2 linked regions of the Notamacropus eugenii genome follow. The protein of the gene in region 1 purifies or fractionates together with the protein of each later gene. This does not show direct contact. Links are inferred from orthologs where the notes say so. Each region holds a gene or a part of one and is shown on either strand. Other genes may lie near its edges. The genes, in order: EXOC6B and EXOC3.

Region 1 (10,363 bases):
GATCTCATCAGACTAGAATATTGGACTCAGTCTAGGAAAATTATATTGGAGGTGGTGGTATAATTATAAAGTTCTATGCTTGGGTTAAGGAAATCCACCTTACATTTCAGCATGAGGGAGATCGTTCATTTGTTGAATAAAAACTAAAGATGAAAAGAGGTATGGTATACAGACTGAGGGGAGGGACAGTGTACCTGTACCCACACTGTACCTGTCCTGTTTTCAGACCCCTTCAGTATCCCATTTTAATAAGAATATATCAAAGTTGGAACAAGTTCATAATAGTGTAACCAGAATGCTTAAAGACCTTCAGAACATGCCCTGTGAAGATCAGAGAGGCAGTTGTGGCATCGAATAATAGGCCTGGAGTTAATGAATCCTAATTTCTAATCTGGTCTCCAATGTTTACTAGATGAGTAATTTTGGGCTAGTCACTTAACCATTGTGAACCTCAGTTCTCTTTCCTGTAAAACAGGGATAATAACAAAGTGAGATCAAATGAGATCGTTTATGTAAAGTGCCTTGCAGACATTAAAGGATACATCAGTGTGAGCTGTTACAATGGTGTCATTGGAAAGAAGTAGGACTTAGTCTACCTACTGGACATTTGGAACTGGATGCCCTACAGCCATTTCAAACTCAACATGTCCCAAAGAGGACTTCTTATTCCCCTACCTCACCTCTAATCAGCCTCTCTTCCTAACAAATTTCCTTGTTTTTTTGAAGGTCACCAGCATCCTTCCATTCACCTCCTCTTGTAACATCAGTGATATCCTCAACTGCTCACTCTCACTCCCCCCCCCCATATAGTCTATTGTCAAATTTTATTGTTTTTTCCTCCACAGAATCTCTCCTGCATGTCCCATCTCTCCACTCAAATAGCCTATATCTTAATTCAGAAGCTTGCCATCTCTTATTTGGACTATTGTAACAGCTTTTTAAAAAAACAAATTCAATTCAATTCAATTTAAAATCTTTTTATTCTGAACTCAATGAACACCAAACAAAAAAAGCCCTTTTGTATACATAATAGAACAGAAAAGAGGAATGTACATGAAACTAGGAAACTCTATTATGAACAGCTTGCTTTTTTTTTTTTTTAAAGATTCAATAAATTCAACATTGTACTAACATTCTAATCGGTTTCCCTGCCTCAAATCCTGCCCTATTCCAGTCTACCCTCCACATTTCCAGAATGATTTTCTAAAGCACAACACTTACTACATTAACTGTCTACTCAACTCCAGTGACACCCTATTGGCTCCCACATCAAACTTGATTCTTGGTTGGCATTTAAAGTCCTTCACAGCCTGATCCAAACCTATCTTTAGTCCCCTTTACACATGCTGTAGTCCTGCCAAACTGACCCTGCTGTTTTGACACATGACAGATAGGGCACTGGGCCAGAGTCAGGAAGACCTGAATTTGAATCTTGCTGCAAACACTTCCTAGCTGTGTAACTATACAAGTCACTTTGCCTGTCAACCTCGATTTCCTCCTCTCTGAAATGGAAATGAATAGCACTTTGCTCCCAGGGGTATGTGAGGATCAAATGAGACGATATCTGTAAAGTGCTTGCCACAGGACCCGGCCAATAGTAGAATCTTAATCAAGGCTAGTTTCTTTCCTTCCTATGTCTACTCCTTTCTACATATTGCTCCCAGTGTCAGGATTGTGCTTCTTCATTTACACCTGTTGGAACCCATGGTTTTCACTGTGGCCACTTAAGGGGCTTTCCTTTGACTCTTTTAGTAGCTTGGGGACATTAGCAGAACACTCCAGTGGCCTGTCCGTCATCTCCTGTTCTTGTTCCATGACCAAGTCCAGCAGAAAGAATACTGGCTCTTGGTTCAGGGGACCTGGGTTCAAGTCCTAACTCTGATGCTTATTGGTCATTTGACCTTGGGCAAGATGCTTAAAGAGAGGGCTGGCCTTGCTGGTCTTTTCGTTCTAGAGCTAGGAACTTCTTTTGTGCCACAAATTCTCATTGATGACACACCCCATCACTGGACTTGCACTTTAAACCAAAGGCCTAGTGAACATCAGATCTAGGAGGATTTGAAAAAAGTCTTGGCAATTCCACTTCCTGCCCCAGAACTCCACCTTGGACTTACTCCAGGATCTGAAAGAAGCAGCTCCACCTCTCCCAGAGTCCCTTCTGAGTGTACCTTTTATCGGGTGTGATAAATTTGCCAAGCCCATCCCTGTAAATGCAGAACTCTTGGCTCTGGGTCATGGGTTGCCTATAAATATGAGCCTGTGAAAGATCTCATGGCATCTTCAGGGAGGAGAGAGAGCCTGAGATGCCTTGGATTCAGGGAATAGAATTTAAGGGAACAGGAAAAGGTAATAATGCTGAGAGGAGATAAGGCAGTTCATTTCCCCTTGTGCATAGGCCTGGATTTCTGAAAGCCATCTGAAAAGAGAAGAGGGCAACAAGATGCTTTAATAGTATCTCTCTCTCTCTCTCTCTCGCTCTCTGTCTCTTAAAAACAGGGACTCCCAAAAGGACTAAATACTTCATGGGAAGCATGGGAAAATGGGCCAAATCTTTGTTCTTGGCACCATGTTCCTGCCCATGCCCTCTGAGTGCATGCATGTATATGTATGTGTGTATGTGTGTAGTATATATGAGTGTGTGGTGTGTGTATCTGTGAATGAGTGGTATATAAGAGTATGTTATGCGTAAAAAGTTTGAAAGTGTGTGTACTTCTGTGTGTGTAACTGAATGATGTGTGTGTGTGTGTGAGTGAGTGGGATATGTGTGAGAATGGTTGGTATGTGTATTTGGTATGTGTGAGTAGTGTGGATGTGTTTAAGTGTATGTTTGTAAGTGGGGTATCTGTGAGAGTGGCTGGTGTGTGTATTCGGTATGTATGAGTAGAGTGTATGTGTATATGAGTGTGGTATATGTATATGTGTGAATGAGTGAATAGTATATATGCAAGTGTGTTGTGTGTAAAAAGTTTGAAGGTGTGTATGTATGTGAATGAATGTTACGTGTATGTGAGAGAGGTATGTTTGAAAGCGGTTGGTGTGTGTATTTGATATGTATGAGTAATGTGGGTGTGGGTATGTATGTGTGTGTGTATGAGTGTGTGTGTATGTAGCTCAGATGCTCTGTGGGGAAGACCAGGGTTGAACCTTAGGGACCTTGTCCTGCAGAAGTCTGGGATGATGTCAGCCTGCTGCTCAGGGACTTAGCTGAGCTCAGGCTCCTGGGGGAGCTCAGGGTGGAGAGCATGGTGTTGTCACCACCTGGAGGAGTACAGTGAACTTAGACTCAGAGGAAAAGGCAGTCCCTGAGGACGTGGGGGTGACAAACACAGCCAAAACATTCTGTGGCCAAGAGATGCCCTGGGAGAAGGCTTGCTATATCAGTCAAGTTCAAATGAGAAAATATTTGTAAAGGGCTTAGCACAGTTCCTGGCATATGGTAAGCACTTAATAAATCCTTGTTCTCTTCTCTCCCCCCCACCCCCAAACCATTATCCAGTTAGTATTGGACTCTCTGTACTTGAACCTGATGGGAGAAATACAACTCCAGCCCTTAGGAAATGCTCAGCCTTCTGGGGGTATTACAGACCCTGCCCTCAGGGAGGCTCTAATCTGAATGGGAAGACAAGACACATCTTTACACATGAGATACCCTATAAAACACTAAGCAGAGTTGTAGTCCATTTCATGTCCTGCTAGCATGTGAGTTCCTCAAGGACAAGAGCTGTTTCTGGTCATCTTCACACCCCCGAATGAGCACACAGTAGACATTCAGTATCTGGTTAGTTGTTTGAATGAGTAGCAGGAGTGTCAATGGTGTGGCAGTGGTGGGCTTCTCCATGGGTTGGATCCCTGGAGCAATGGAAGGATGGTGGTGCTCTCAGCAAAAAAGGAGAGGTTTGGAGAAGACGTGGGGAAGTCACTCAGTTACATTTTGGACATGCTGAGTTTGAGATGCTGTTGGGTCATCCAGGAATAGTTCATGATGGACACTGGAATTTAGGAGAGAGATGAGGGCCAGACGCATCCACCTGTAGGGATCTGCAGAGAGATAATAATTGAACACATGGGAACTGATGAGTTAACTAAGAGAGTAGAGAGAGAAAAAATACAGTTGGGTGGTTGGGGACGGACAATGACCTAGCAAAGGAGACTCAGAAGGCCCAGCTGGACAGGTAGGGGTAGAACCAAGAGAACTCAGACTAGAAGAGGAAGAGATGGACAATGTTTCAAAAGCTAAAGACAAGAGGTAAAGCAGAACGAGACACCAAAAAAAGCCAATGAAACCAAGCATGAGAAGAGTATTAGTAATTTTGGAAAGAACAGCTTAGGAAGATTGAGGTCAGAAGCCAGATTGAAAGGGATATAAAAAGGAAGTGAAGAAATGGAGGTAACTAGTGGAGATGACTCTGTCTAGATATTTGAAAGTGAAAGGGAAATTACCTTGCATTTACTTATTTGTATATGTCTTGTACTTTCCAAGTGGGCTGTAAGCTCCTGGAGGACTGGGCTTGTCTTTGAATTCTGTCTGGCACATGGATTGACTGAACACGTGAAGAGATCCAGGAAAATACCTTACAAGGATTTGTTTAGGAGTGGAAGAAGTCTGGACATGTGTGTAGTTAGGAGAGGGCATACAGTGAATACATTTTAAATTTCAGCTCCCTCCTACTTAAATCACTTGAACTAGGCTCCTGGGTCCCTGGGTTCTGATAGTCAGCTTTTGCTTTTATTTTACCTTGCCCTGAACGAAGCCTCCATTTAAATTCCTGGACACTTTTTTTTTGGAGGCAATTTGGGTTAAGTGACTTACCCAGTGTTATATGGCTTATAAGTGCTCGAGGTTACGTTTGAACTCAGGTCCTGCTGATTCCAAGGCAAGTACTAGCTGCTCCATCCTGGGTATTTTCAAAGCATTCCCAGCTCTCTTTTGTGTGTTGTCTGCTTCTATCAGAATGTGAACTCCTTGAGATCCAGGACAATCTTGATTGTTGCTAATTGTATTCCCAGCACTTAGCAGAATGCTTGGTATATAGCAAGTGCTTAATATTTATTTCATTGTCCATCCATCCATCCATCCATCCATCCATCCATCCATCCATCCATCCATCCATCCATAAAGAGAAGGAATGACAGAGGGAACAGCCTCTCAGAGGAGACAGAAAGGGATAGGATCAAGAAGACAAGCAAATGAGTTGACCTTTGTAGAGAGAAAGACCATACCTTTCTCAGAGACTGGAGTAAAAGATAGGGTTGGGGGAATAGTGGAGAGGGGTACAGTTGGAGAGGAAGGGTCCTGCTCATTTAGGATGGCCTCAGTTTTCTCCGTGAAGTAGGAGGAGAGGTCCTCTGCTGAGAGAAAGGAGGGCATGGCATAGGAGGTTTGAGGAGAGAAGACATCTGGCGTAGACCTTGTGGGAAGTGTGAGAATCATTCAGGGATGAGTAAAATAACGTCTACACAGCAGGGAGGGTCAAGTTGGGGGGTACCATGTTTATACTGTATCTCCAAGTATCACTTTGTGGATATTGACTAGAGGAGTTGGATGGTGCCTAAGATAAGACTGTAACTGCAAGTGAAGGACTAGAGCTGTCCAAGGTGGAACCGGCCAGTGTTCCCAGACCTAGGGACTTGCCCACGGTCACGCAATCTCTATGTGTCCGAGACAGGGCTGCAACAAGTATAATCCTCATTGTACGGATGACCAGATGGCTGGATAGAAAGGAGTGGGAGGGGTGAGGCGGCCAGGTAACGACCGGCTGCGTGACCTCGGCAGCCTCAGTTTCCTCATCTGTAAAAGTCCCTTTTCGCTTTCTATGGTGGCATGACATCATGACCTTATTGGACAAGCTCAGTCACGCCCACTTCATCGGTCAGTCAGTCAACAAGCGCTTACGGAGGTCCTACTCTGTGCCCGGCCCTGGTCTAGGCGCCAGGGAGACAAAGAGAAGCCGACGTCCGCCTCTTGCCCTCAGGGAGCTGCCAGTCTCCATTGGAGGGCAATGCGAAGAGCGCTGAGCTTGGCGCCCAAGGATCTGGGCGCTGCCTCCTTTCCTCCCTCTGGGCCTCAGCTTCCCGCTCTGTTAGGGTGGCGGCGGATGCCCTTGAGGTCCAGCCAGTTCCTTGGAGCAGGGCAGGGAGGGCGAGGACTACATCTCCCGGCAGGCCGCGCGCGCGGCCTCGCACGGCGCGGGGCGGGGCCTGGGCGCGCTGACGCTGGGGGGCGTGCCCGGGGGCGGGGTCGTTGCTGGGCGGCCGGGGCGGCTGCGGAGGGGCCGGCGAGGCTGCGAGGCTGCGGGCGGCTCCGAGCGCGGCGGCAGGCGCGGGGAGGCCGGGGCGGGGCGGGGCAGGGCGGCCGCCCGGCCCATGGAGCGGGGGAAGATGGCGGAGGCGGAGAGCCTGGAGACGGCGGCGGAGCACGAGCGGATCCTGCGGGAGATCGAGAGCACGGACACGGCCTGCATCGGGCCCACGCTCAGGTAGCGAGCCGGGCCGGAGCGAACCGGGGCCGGGGGCGCCCCGCCCCCCCGAGGCCGGGACCCCGCGGGGAGGGGGCGACCGTGCCGGGAGAGGGGAACCCCGCCCTGGCCGGCACCCCCCCAGCGTTGGGAGGGCTCCCCGAGGGAACACCCTTCCCCAGGGGAGCCCCCGGAGAGAGACGCCCCCGAAGGCAGGACCCCCAGCGAGCGAGACACCCCACAGGGTGGGACCCTCACCCCGTCCGACCCCCTGCGAGGGCACACTTCTCCAAGAGGGAGCCCCTTCCCAGGGTGACCCCTGCCCTCCGCCCCAGCCCCTCCCCAGGGAGCTCTCCCGTCCCTTTCTGTCTGCACAAGAGCAAGCCTCTGCCCCCTGCCCTCTCCCTCCTTCCCCTAGGGTCGAGCCCCCCGTTCAGGAGCGAGAGCCCTCAGAAGGGCCAGACAAGCCCTACCCAAGAGGGAGTGCTTCTGCCCCCATACCCACCCTCCTCATACTCTCTCCCCTTGACTGCCCCTAGTCCCATCCACATTCCTCCTTCAAAGAAGGGGCTGCCCCTGCCCACCCCTCCCTGCAGGCACCTCTCTTCCTTCACCTTATAGCCTGAACCTTACACATCCTTTTCAGTCAGACTTTGCCCCCTCTCCCTAGGAACCAGTCTCTCCTTCTTGTGAGACCCTCCTTCTTGTCCAAGACAGGCAGACACTGTACCTTTCCCCCTTCCAGATTTTCCCCCTCCCCTCCAAGCATTCTTCTCATTTGGTCAGGACCCTCCCCAGTGACACCCTCCATTTCAGCACCTCCCTCTTCCACAGGCAAACCCCCCCTTCAACACCCCCCCCCCCCCAGTGAAGTTTTCACAGGCATCCCCAAGACAGCTCCTTCCCCAGGATCTAGTTCTAAAACTCCTGAGAAGCTTCTTGTCTTCCTTCCCTTCAGCTACACCCACAGCTATAGGAGATGGTCTCTCTTGGGGAAGACTGACTTTCCACTGGACCCCGCCCCCCCCCCCCCCCCCATCCTTTGCCCTTTTGAAGAGTCAGTCCCTTCCTCAATCCCCAAGCCCTTCCAGCCTTCTCTCATCATAGTCCAATTCCTCTGGAGAGTCAGGTTTCCTCACTAGCTATGTACCTCTGCTTAGACCCTCCAGGCCCTTCCCTAAGAAAAACTTCAGCTCCTTGGGAGTCTGGCTCTCCCAGCAGGGAGATCTCCATCTCCAATCAGGGTCTCCCAGGAGGGGAGAGAAACCTTCCCCACCAACAGACTCCTGGCCTCTGGTTCCTATGGAGAGTCCCCCTCTTCCATTCAGGAGGGTCAGCGCCTCTCCATATACATTTTTCCCAGACAAATAGGCCACTCAACCCCTTCTTCAGGATGACCTCCTCCCAGCACCGACTTAGCCCCCTTGAGTAAGACTTTACAGGGTCAGATTCCATTCCCTTAGGAGGGATGCCCTTCTTCCACCACCTAGCCTCTTTGGAAAGTAAGGAAGGCCTCCTGAGGATGAGCCAGCCCCTTTCCTCTTCCAGGCAAGCTGCTCTGGACAGTTAGACCCTTGTCTCCTCAGCTAGGCTCCCCTTACCATATTCAGAGGTGATTCCTCCCCTCCCCTCTTGAGAATCAAACTTCCTCTGGATTGAGACTCCCTCCCCCAAGCCCCAGCCCCCATCTTCTCCAGGAGACAAACATGCCAGTCCCTTAGGAAAGTCAAGGCAGCTCTAACCCTGGGAGTGGGATTAGTACCCATGTATCAGCCTCCCGAATGAATTCAGCCCTTCAAAATCCCAGCTCCTCCAAACAGACGACCTGCTTCTCCCTCCCTAGGAGACTTTCTCTTTCCTACCTACTACTTAGTTCATTCCTCGAGTGAGGGCCAGTCAAACTCTAGCCTAAGGCTAAGGCCTCTCTCCCTCTTCCCTCACATTAAACACCAAGCCTCATGCCTAGCATTTATATAGTGATCTGAACTTTGTAAATAGATTTGCATAATATCTTTTGATCCAATAACCCCTTGAGATAGGGGCTTTTATTGTCCCCATTGTACAGATGAGGAAACTGAAGCTTGTGACTTGTCCAGGATCATAGAGTTAGGGGATCTGATGAAGGATAGGAAGTGAGGCCTTCCTGACTGAGCCTAGCACTCTGTCTCCTGTGTCACCCAGAGCCTCACCCACTTACCTTAATTCCCTTTGTCTCCTTTCACCCCTCAGTTTAGGGCATGAGCCTCTTTTTTTGGTGATACTTCTTTTTTCTTCGTAAAGAACTAACCCAAATCCCCAGCCTTTACAATTCCGATCTCTATCCCCAACCTTCCTCAGTCTGGAGCTATTTAATGTTTCTTCTTAATTCAGTAATTCCATAAAGAGTTTGATCATGGAACCTTTCAGCCCAGAAATAAATTAACCTGCCTGTGTCACCTGGTGCCCTGGGAGGGGGTGGAATTAAAAAATGTGCCTGACTAGGGGAATTTGGAAGCAAAAGGGGAGATTCAGTCTCCTTCCCTGCTGGACGCAATCTCCTATAACAGACCTTTCTGACCCCTGATTTCATGCCTCTCTTCTGGAGGGAAGAAAATCCAGCAGGCGTCAAAAACTGGAGTCCAGGCCCTGGGAACTGTTGCTCCGAGTGACCCTGCCTATGCCACCACCCCCATTGGCCCCCCAGCCAGGCTTTCCATGAGCCTGTGACTGTGTATGGGGGCTGCCCACTGGGCTTCCTTCCCTGAATTGTAGCGCTGCTCAACCAGGAGCTGTTTCAGCTCAGCAGTCAGCCTGCTGCCTCTACACAAGCACGATTAGTTTCTGCCCTGAGCACCTGTAAGTTGTTCCTCTTTCTCCTTAAGGTCGTTGTCATTCATTTCTCATTTTTCTCTCCTATTGGCCTTATTAGCAGGCCTCCTCCCCCCACCCCCTGCTTTCTTTCTCCCCTTCTCTCTGTTGTCCCTGATGGCAGACCCATTTGTCCTTGCCCAAACAGGGGCAGCAGGTGCTGACTCTTTTGTGTGGTAGCCAGTGTGTGCCAGCTTCCTTCCCCAGTGGCATCCTCATCTGTGCTCTCCCAGTCACAGGCAGGCCTCCTCTGCCTTGTGCCAGGCCCTCAGGGGCAACCCCATCACTCAACTCTCCAGCTTCTTTCCCACCTCAGTAAACAGGAACAATCCAGAGACATCCAGTTCTTCCTGCCCTCCTGTCCTATGGCAACATTGGTGCAAGTGACCTCTTCCTTTCTGTCCTTGGTCTCTGTCTCCTCTAGACAGGTACGAAAGATCTTCATGGTCTCTCCTTAAGCCTTTGATGTCACTGTCTGAGGTCCTAGGCTGTTCTGCCGGGGAACACCCCCCCTCCCCCCATGATTCTGGCAAAGGTTTGTTGGATATGGCCTGTACTTCTTGTGCCTTCAATCCAGCCCTGGGACATGGGGGTAGCAGTTACCTTGTTGGAGCTCTGCACAGGTGATCCTGGGCAGGGAACATCACACCTGTGGCCTCAGTTTCTTTTACTTTCAATATGGAAGTAGGATTGATAATCCTTAAGTTTCCTTCTTGGACATGCTGCTAGAGACAGCTGGTGGCACAGTGGACAGAGCGCCGGGTCTGGAGTCAGGAAAGACCTCAGTGTGAATCTGGCCTCAGATGCTGCCTGGCTGTGTGGCGCTGGGCAAATCCTTTAGCCTCTGTTTGCTTCAGTTTCCTCATCTGTAAAATGGGGATGATAGTAGCACCCGAGGATCAGGGTTGTTGTGAGTCTCCAATGAGAGCATGTTTATAAGGAGCTTTACTAAGTACCTGTCGCAGAGTAGCAGGCACTTAATAAGAGCTTGTTTCCTTTCTTTAGGAAGCATTGCTCTCTTTCCCCTCACCCCTCACCTCTGAGGGGCCTCCTCAGGAGGG
Region 2 (9,767 bases), on another chromosome or scaffold:
ATTTTATTTTTGTGTGTGTATATCATCTCTTCTGATATAACACACCCTATACTCTCTATCTATCTACGTGTATGTGTGTGTGTGTGTGTGTATGTACAATCTCTCCAACTACCCAAATAGTGAGAAAAGATTCAAGAGTTAAAAATATTTTCTTTCCATGCAGTAATGTAAACAGTTCAGCTTTAGAGAGTCTTTTATGATTTTTCTTTTCTGTTTACCTTTTCATGCTTCTCTTGATTCTTGTCTTGGGAAGTCAAATTTTTAAATACATATCTGGTCTTTTCCTCAACATGAATTCTTGAAAGTTGTCTATATCATTGAATGACCATTTTTTCCCTTGAAGTATTATATTCAGATTTTCTGGGTAGGTGATTCTTGGTTTCAATCCCAGTTCCTTTGACTTCTGAAATATCCTACTCCAAGCCCTTCGATCCCTTAATGCTGAAGCTGCCAGATCCTGTGTTATCCTGATTGTATTTCCACAGTACTCAAATTGTTTCTTTCTAGCTGCTTGCAATATTTTCTCCTTGATCCGGGAACTCTGAAATTTGGCCACAATATTCCTAGGAGTTTCTCTGTTTGGGTCTCTTTCAGGAGGTGATCAGTGAATTCTTTCAATATCCATTTTGCCCTCTGATTCTATAACATCAGGGCAGTTTTCCTTGATAATTTCATGGAAGATAATGTCTAGGCTCTTTTTTGATCATGGCTTTCAGGCAGTCCAATAATTTTTAAATTATTTCTCCTGGATCTATTTTCCAGGTCAGTTGTTTTTCCAGTGAGTTGTTTCACATTATCTTCTATTTTTTTCAAATTTTTGGTTTTGTTTACCAACTGCTTGGTTTAGCTCATAGTCATGCGTTTCCCTAAACTCAATTCTCTCTTTCAACGAATTATTTTGTTCAGTGAGCTTTTGAACCTTCTCCTCCATTTGGGTAATTCTGCTTTTTAAAACCTCCTTCTCCTCGTTGGCTTTTTGGACCTCTTTTTCCAATTGAGTTAGCCTCTTTTTAAAGCTGTTATTTTCCTCAGCATTTTTTTGATTCTCCTTTAGTAAGCTGCTAAGTTGTTTTTTAAGGTCTTCTCTTGCCTGAGCCCAGTTTAAGTTCAACTTTGGAGGCAGAGGCCTTGACTTCCTGTGACAGTATGCCTTGTTCTTCGTCATCTGAAAGGATAGGGAGAGACACCTGTTCCCCAAGAAAGTAACTTTCTATGGTCTTATTTTTTTTTTTTTTCCTTTTTTAGGCGTTTTTCCAACCAGTTACTTGACTTGTGAGTTTCCTCTCCACAACTTCCTGGCCTCCGGCTCTGCCAAGCCAGCACTTAGGGGCTGAGATTCAAATGAGCTGCTCCCAAGCCTCAGGGCTTTAGGTGGGGGCAGGGCTGCTATTCAGTGTGAGATTAAAGTCAGCTGTTCAGGTGGGGGCAGGGCTGCCACCCAGGGCTCAGTTCCCTCAGGGGCTTTCTGATGAGACCTTCAACAATGGATGGGGCCTACTGCCTGCTTTGGGGCTGCCTTCTGCTGCTGCCTCTACTGCTGCCTCCTGAGGAGACCTGAGTTATGGGGACACCCCGATTGTCTCTCAGCCAGCCTAAAGGACCCTCCCACTGACCTTTGGCACATGTGGGTTGAGGGATCTGTGCTGCCTGGAGATTCTGTCCCTGAAGCCTGCTGGGATCTGCTTCCTTTGGTGCCACCTCATGTTATGACTTTCTTAAGTGTAACTTTTATTTAATCTTTGTAGTCAAAATTTACTTGTGATAACACATCTCAAACTTTACAATGTAAGTCACTGGGGAAATGATTTAATTTATGCTTTATGACAGATTTTTCAGGAAAGCATCTATTCCGTTAAGTAGTTTCATCAATGCATATCTATGTTGGATCAACTATTTCATTATTATTCAGTGTACATGGAAATATCAGTAGACTCAAAAGTCTTACTTAGCCTTCAGATTTTGTTTTTTCCTTCATTTCAAAACTGTAATTTTTATAAGTTGAAAGCATAGAGGTAGAAAGCTAGAAACTTCCAGGGTTCACAGGAAATCTAATGTAGAATTTTTATAAAATGCCAATTCCACAAACCGGTTTAGGGAACTATTTTTTTTTTTTATGTATTGCTGGTCTCCATAGCAAGATTCCTAGATTCCTGATCAACCAAATAGGGAACTCCACCAGTTTATCTGCTACCATCAAAACACCTGTGCAGCTCTAGCTTTGCTAAGAATTGTATTCGAATTTGATGTCCACCCTTAGAATAGATAAGTGTTTATTGTAGTTAGGAAGACAATTACATTTCCATAGTATGCTTCTTTTTTGTAGCCCCCTATTTTTTGGAAAAGGCTGCTGTTTATTCTTAATTTCTATTAAATTAAATGAGAACCACTTCTCATTGTTGGCTTTCAGAGTAAATATTTTGTAAATGGAGTAAATGTGAAAAGGCTTCATATTTTACCAGTGACGATTGAAGCTTGTTTTTTTTTTGGGGGGAGTATGTGAAAGAAAAAAAATGTGATAAAACTAAAAATAACCCCAAATCACATATTATGGAAGTTTGCAGTCTTTGTTTTAATATTTTACCCATAATACCTCACCTGGAACAGAGACAGGAAGATAGGAAAATTTCCTGTTATGGTGCTTGCTTTATGATGGCAAAAATTACTCTCAGCTCTCAACTGTCTTTCTAATATTCACGTCCTGAACTGCTCAGTTCAGCAATAGCAGCCTGACAAAATTTCAGAAGAAAGGAACAGAAGGCAAGAGTCTAGAAATCAGATGCACTACTGGACCTTGCCTATATCCTGATATCAAAAGACATCACCAACTTGTGAACTCTGGGTTAACAGCTACTTGAGTGCCTCATCTTCATAGCAGCACTATCCCTATGGGATACAAGACTGTACTTGTTCAGTCGTTTTCAGTCATGTCCAACTCTTCATGAGCCCTTTGGGGTCTTCTTGGCAAAGATACTGGAGCGGTTTGCCATTTCCTTCTCCAGCTCATTTCACTAATGAGGAACTGAGGCAAACAGAGTTAAGTGATTTGCCTGGGGTCACACAGCTAATAAGTGTCTGAGGCCAGATTTGAACTCAGGAAAAGTCTTCCTGATTCCAAGCCCATTCACTGCATTAAGACCACACTTAATAATGCAATATAGAAGCACTCCCTCTCCCAAATAAAAAGGAAATAAAAAGCCCACAAACCCAAAACAAAAACCCTAACTTGATCTTATGCTAAGTTAGGAGAGGCATGATGTCCACAGCATTGAAAGTAAAGCTCAGCATCCCAATATTGAGCCCATCTCCCATGTCTACATACACACGTCCATCTACAGTCTTAAAAATGACCATTTACTTAACTTGAAGTCGACCTTCCATATGGTACAGAACTCGTATACCTCTTTGTTTTTCATATTTGAACGTTTTCCCTGGTTTCCGTTTTTAAGATAAATGGAGCAGGTAAGTGATGAATGGGACAGAAATAGTATGAAGAGATTTATATAGTTTAAGAATATATAATATTGCCACTGTCATGAATATTTTGATATCTAATAGAAGTAACAAAAGAACTTTTAAAAAATATGTACACTGCAAGTGCGTGTGAAGAAAAAATTTTCAGATGGTATCTGGAAAGTCAAAGATAGACCTTTTTTGTGAATGAGATGGAATGTCAGACTCATTTGAGAATACTTTAATATTACAGAGTTAGAAAAGTTTTTTTTTATTAGATAAATCTGGCTTCAATGAAGCAGTTTCAAGAACATTAAAGAGATTGATGTTAAAGGCTTCAGATTGCCAGAGCATTATAGTAATTGACTAATTGGCCTGTTTCAGAACTAAAGAACAAACAACGGGTAATCACATAAACATTTGGAGACAGGTCTGATTTTTAGAAGGATGATCAATTTGACAGGGGAGATTTGGGGAGCTGTGCTTCACCCTGCTGGCCTCAGTTTGCTCATCTGTGAAATGAGCTGGAAAAGGAAATGACAAACCAGCCCAGCATCTTTGCCAATGGGATCACCAAGAGTCAGCCGTTACAGAGAAACAACTCAACGCAACAGCTCCTTTTGAAAGGAGAAGAGAGTAGCTTTGAGTCAGGGGACTATTACTGGACTCATCGTGAAGGACCTGGAGAGAACGCGGGTTGTAAAGAATCTGGCAAAGGAACGTCAGTTGAACGGAGGCACGTGGGGGCATCAGCCCGCAAATTTCATTGAGTGGCTCCTGATTGGCTGGACAGACTCGTGCTCATTGGCCCAGAGCGCCGGCGAGAGCCCATTGCCCTTCAGCACCACCTGGCGGTGGACAGAGGGGAAGCTCCTCTTCAGCGTTTGTGGCTCCGCTTTCTGCTCTGGCTTCAGAAGGCAAAGCAGAAGGGAGGGGACCGACCCGCAGCCGCTTTGGTGCCCAGGTGAGCGGTCTTCAAGAACCCAGCGGAGCCACCTTCTGATGGTACAGCAACAGCCTCTAGGCGAATGTGTGTCAGTCTCAAAGACACCCAGTTTGAGGGGCTTCGCAGTACTCACGTTAATCAATAGTCAATCAACATGGTGATGGTGAGCTGGAGTCAGCTCTTAAAGGCTTGAGAGAGCTGACTGTCCAGACTTTAAAGAGATGAAAAACACTTAAAAGCTACGTTTTAGAAGTGTATGCTGTATGTATATGTACATGCACGCATATATCTCAAAGTATTACTACATTATATTGGTGTCATGTATGTGCATATACATATACTATACACTCATATTATACACACATATATACATGCAGAAGAGAACTCTGTCTGACCACGGGGTAATTAAGAAGCCGGGGGCAACCCTGATCCCAGAGCAGGAAGAGAAGGCTGGTAGCCATATGTACCAGAGGGGGGAGTGCGAGGGGGAGGGGCAGGCGGACAAGTGGGAAGGGGGTGCCCAAAGAGCCACGGCAGCAGAGGTTTTGGGGGCCCGAAGGGGACTCTTGGGACCACCGGGTCCTTGGCCGTAAGTCGCTGTCCTTTCGCTCTCTAGACGTTTGGAAGGGGGAGATCACTTCTGAAAACCCTCTGCCAGTGGGGGATGGGTGAGGGTGAGAACGCTGACCCCCCAGCGTGAGGCAGGGAGCCTTTCGCCGATTCTGTAGAGAACCGCCCCAGACCGGCAGGGCCGAGGGGCATGTCCCAAGCTGCATGGCCAGGCTTAGCTCGGCCCCTGCCTTCTGCTGATAGTTTGTCCCCACCTGCGGGCTCCTTCCAAGGAGGGGTCAGGAGGCCTCGGTGAGGGCGGGGGCTGCCCCAGTGGAGAGAGTCCAGAGCCCAGGCCAGAGCGCACTGGGCCGAGGGGAAGCGGGGCCGACTGCCGCCCGGGTTACTCGTCTCTAGGGCTCGCTGTCAAGCGACCCCATCCTCTCCCTTTAGGAGCCGACAGGCTACGGTAGCCCGTCGCCCCGGCAACCATCAGCTGTCCGTCTGGCAGCCCGCTCGCTCCCGCGGACCGGAAGAACGCCCGGGAGCGCGTCACCAAGCGTGGAGTGCCCACTTCCGGTCTGAGGTGATCCCGGAAGCGAACATCTTCGGCGGTCGGAGAGGGGGGCTGAAACCCCCAGATCGTGACGGCGGCTGTTTGGCCAGGCTTGGGGGTGTGGCGAGGCGCTCGCCTTGGAGCCTCTCGAGGGCCGAACCTCGGTGTCCGGTGCCTCCGACGGGCGAGTATCGGCCACTCAGCCCCGCCCCGAAGCAGGTACTGCCCGGCGGGAGGCGCTGAGCGATCGGCCGGGGCCGGGGCGGGGGCCGGGGGTCAGAGGACGGGTGAGGCAGCTGCAGGGGGCTCGGAGCCTGAGACTCGTCCGTGGGGTCCGGAGCCCTCGGGGTGTTCGGGCCGCCAGCCGCTTGTCTCCGAGTTAGCCGCCCAGGTCAGCCAGGCAGGCGGACCGAGCGGGGCCCCGGGCTGGATCCGAAGCGGGAGCTCGGGCCGGGCCCCGCCCACCCCCGGCCTCCTCCTCCTCCTCCTCCTCCTCCTCCTCCCCCTCCTGCTCGGGGTGCGGGGGATCGGGGTGCGGGGGCCCGGGGTGCGGGGGATCGGGGTGCGGGGCCCGGGGTGCGGGGGGTCGGGGTGCGGGGCCCGGGGTGCGGGGGGTCGGGGTGCGGGGCCCGGGGGCGTCCTGCGGGTGGGGCTCCTAGAGGGCCTCAGGGACCCCCCGTGGTTTCGGCCTGAGTAGGATCCGACTCCTGGCAGCTGCTCTCCGGGACCACGCGGATTCGGGAAATCTGGGGCAAGTCATTTAGCAGCCGGGCAGGGACTGGCCGTGTGCTCTCAGGCCCGTTTCAGCCCCAGACACGGATTTCACTGTCTTTGGGCTATCTCTCCACTTCAGGCTTTCGGTTAGTCTAGGCAGGTCATATCCTGGGGTGTGGGTCACTTCCCCAAGGGGCTTACCAAACCAAGCAAACACGAGAATGATTTCTCTGAAGTCCCACCTTGTCCACGAGGCTGCTTCTGGCCACCGCTGCTAGTGCCTTGCCTTTGAGGTTCCCTGCCACTTACAGGGCGTCTGTCTTGTATATACAGTTTTTTGCACATCTTCTCCCCGATCAGAGAGGGAGCTTCTTGAGGACGTGTGTTTGCCCCTCTTTGTATCCCTCCCATCCCAATTCCGGGCTCTTTCCTTAATAAACGGGTACTAACTGACAGGACTCGGAGTCCTAAGTGACAGTCACTTAATGGCTCCATAAATCGTAAGACCTGGTTAAAAAGGGCCCTAGGTTGGAAATGCTGGAGAGCTGGGTTGTAGTCTAACCCCTGGAGGGATCTGACCTTGGTGGGTAAACTGGATATTCTCTAAGGTATATTCCAGTTCTATTATTTTGTGATTCTGTAGCTGTGACTTGGAATCATAGAGCTGGAAGATCATATAGCAGTCCCCTCCTTTTCCAGATAAACTTAGGCCCTGAAAAGTTAAATTTCTCCAATGTCACACACAGCCAGTAAATGGCAAAACCGGGATTTTAAGCCGAGTTGTCTAATTCCCAATCCAACTGGTTATTATTGAAAGGTGGCAAATTACTGCTGACTTCTTTTCAAAGCAAGTCTTAAATATAAGGGAAAAGACATTTCTGTATTCTGATTTAATGAGTAGGGGGTCATTCTCCATTTGTTCTTCCCCTTCTCAGATGTCCACCTAAAATATAATTGAAATTACATAATTAGAGATTAATTTTCTTACCTTAGAATTTTGTGCCAAATTAGTATGCAAAAAAGTCTGGGTGAAGTAGTATATTAGGTTTTAATCAATCAATTGCGGCAAAGCATCAAAGTGTTTCTTGTCATTTCCTTTTCTAAGAGCTCTATCCACTCCATGAAGCTGTCCCTTGTATAAAATATTGCCTTCCCCACTAGTGAGATTGTATGTATCAGTGTTTAAATGACCCTACTTGTTATCAGAGCTTACATTAGTTTTCCATGGAAAGGATCCCACAAATCTGAAATGACAAACTTCCTCAAATCCTGATGGATAATGGATAAATCCTAATGGCCAGCCCTACGCAAAAACAAAAAGTAAGGGAAGCTTGTCTTTGCCATCCCAATCTCATTTTTATCTACCCATTACCTGTTTATGTTTTGATACTAGCAACCCTCACATTTCTTCTACTTCTTATCAAAACTTACTCTCAGAAAAGAAATGAGGAGAAATACTTGAAACTTTGCCAAAAATGACTGATTGAAACATATTCTCCCATTCTTTTTTGCATTTTGATTTTGATAAAAATTCTTAAGGAAATCTTTAATTTTGGAATTGAAACTGGTGGATGACTGAGAAGGAGGAGGAGAATAAATGGAGAATATTCCCAGCGTCCATTAAGTCAGAGCATATAAATGTCTTTTCTCATATCTAAGATCTGTTTTGAAAGGGCAGCAGTGACAATTTGCCATCTTCCAATAATAACCAGTTGGATAGCAGATTATATATTTTGACTCAATAAATGCAGTATATATCTCTACAAAATATATCTCTACAGCTCTGCTCTTGAATTCTCTCAAAACTCCTGACCTTTTCTGTTCCTAAGATTTATCAGTAGTGAATTTAATATATAGTCCTGAAAAATACTGGCAATTTATTACTGATTAACCGGGAACTTCTGAACTACTTTAAAAAATAATTTGATTTGAGGTAGAGATCATATAGTTCCCAGAAGGATGCACCAGACCTGTTACAATATCTGATTTTCTTTCAATACCATGTTTCATAAAAGTGGGGAAGAATTCAAGGTGAGTTTTTCCCTCTTTTACTAAATTTTTCTGCACTCTTTTCATTACATATCACAGGTCCAGATGAGGGGAGGTAGTGTTTAAAAGAAACCTGGGAAGATGGAAGAAGTTCTGGGAAATTTAGACAAAATGTGGCTGTGAAATGATGTGGGCAGAGAGGGTGGGTGAATAGGGAAGTCTGATCCCTGAAGTAGATCATAGATCTATAAGAGACGGAGAACTAGCCTTAAAGAGTACATTCCTTTTTTACTTCTTTTTAGTTGCTTTGGGGGAGGGAGGGTTGAAAAATACTGAAAGATCTTTCCAAGAGTCTTAGTGAGAAATGAGAACTGAAAAATTGGTTCTTCAAGGGTAGGGAACTACCTGGAGATGGCCATTTTGGTGCCGTAGTTTGTATCCATTTAGGAAGAAAACTCATCTGTGAATTATAATTACATTATCATGAATGAATAAAGAAACCTTTATTAAGTGCCTGTGCTTACTATGTGTAAAGCACTTACTACAAATAAAAAAGATCGTCGTGTTCGTCCTTCATTGCCGAAGACGACCATGCCATCAGAGAAATGACGACATGATTTGCACTTGACTTTGTTTTGTGTGAAGGAGGGGTGTGCAGGTCACCAGCCTCTCTTCTCCTCCAGAGCCATCTGAATCCAATGACCAGATAGTCATCAGGATGACTGGAGATGGCCAAGTAAGACAGTCTTTGCCCTCAAGGAGCTCACATTCATTTTAATGAGGGAGACAACCACATGAAAGGGTTCAGCTGAAAGGCAGATAGGAATGTCCCATTGTCCATAGCAGATAGTAATGCGTCTTTTTTGATGTTATTGCCACCAATAAAATCATGTCACTTTCTGATATTGAACCTTCTTTGGTACTTTGGTTCCAAGAACTTTCCTTTTTTGGGGTCTCCAATACCTGACAATGTTGCATCTGCAGAAACAGTTGCCAGGCTCATCTCTGTAGGCATAGCTTCTGGAAGCATTACTGTTCCAAAGGTACTTGGCTTTAAGGTCCTGAACTATTTGTATGAAGGTCAGAGGTAAGCTGGTGGTGAAGATGATGGTAGTGGTTGTACTTGCTTGGCACGTGTTACAAGCTGCCTTGCTGCTTCAACTGTGTTAGCTTGTCTGCTCTGTGTGTGGCATTTGGTGGAGATGGTCAGCTTGTTTTCCAGAGGAGTTGCTACTCTAGCCAATGGCAGTAAGGAGTAGGTAGGCTAGAATCAGGAGAAGTGGTCTGGGAGTTATTGCCACTTCCAAGGCGCCCTGTGCTAAGCAGTCTTTTGGTGGCAGTTGATTAGCAGTGTTGCTGCTGGAGATGAGGAAGGTAGATCCCTTCTCTACAATAATTTCTCCCTTCAGTGATGGCTAGGGGGACTAGAAGCAATTCATTTGATTTGGATGGCATTGATATTCCTAAAGCTTTGGGACTTAAGTCAGGATAATGGCTATAGGCACTGGACTGGAAACGTTGCTATTCCAAAGACTCAGTAGTCCAGGGGAGATGATAATCAGA

What was found.
Region 2: the proteins of EXOC6B (region 1) and EXOC3 purify together in Homo sapiens (affinity purification with mass spectrometry; 3 studies listed by BioGRID and IntAct, counting the BioPlex papers as one, with this or other methods). This does not show direct contact. The link is inferred for Notamacropus eugenii from reciprocal best matches to the Homo sapiens genes EXOC6B and EXOC3.

The regions. Positions count from the first base shown.
Region 1 is NC_092872.1:738,937,062-738,947,424, reverse strand, and holds the start of EXOC6B (exocyst complex component 6B), read left to right. Parts: upstream 1-6,325; 5' UTR 6,326-6,363; coding exon 6,364-6,476; intron 6,477-10,363. UniProt on the Homo sapiens protein: Component of the exocyst complex involved in the docking of exocytic vesicles with fusion sites on the plasma membrane.
Region 2 is NC_092875.1:343,301,457-343,311,223, forward strand, and holds the start of EXOC3 (exocyst complex component 3), read left to right. Parts: upstream 1-5,588; 5' UTR 5,589-5,720; intron 5,721-6,231; exon of another isoform or gene 6,232-6,361; intron 6,362-9,767. UniProt on the Homo sapiens protein: Component of the exocyst complex involved in the docking of exocytic vesicles with fusion sites on the plasma membrane.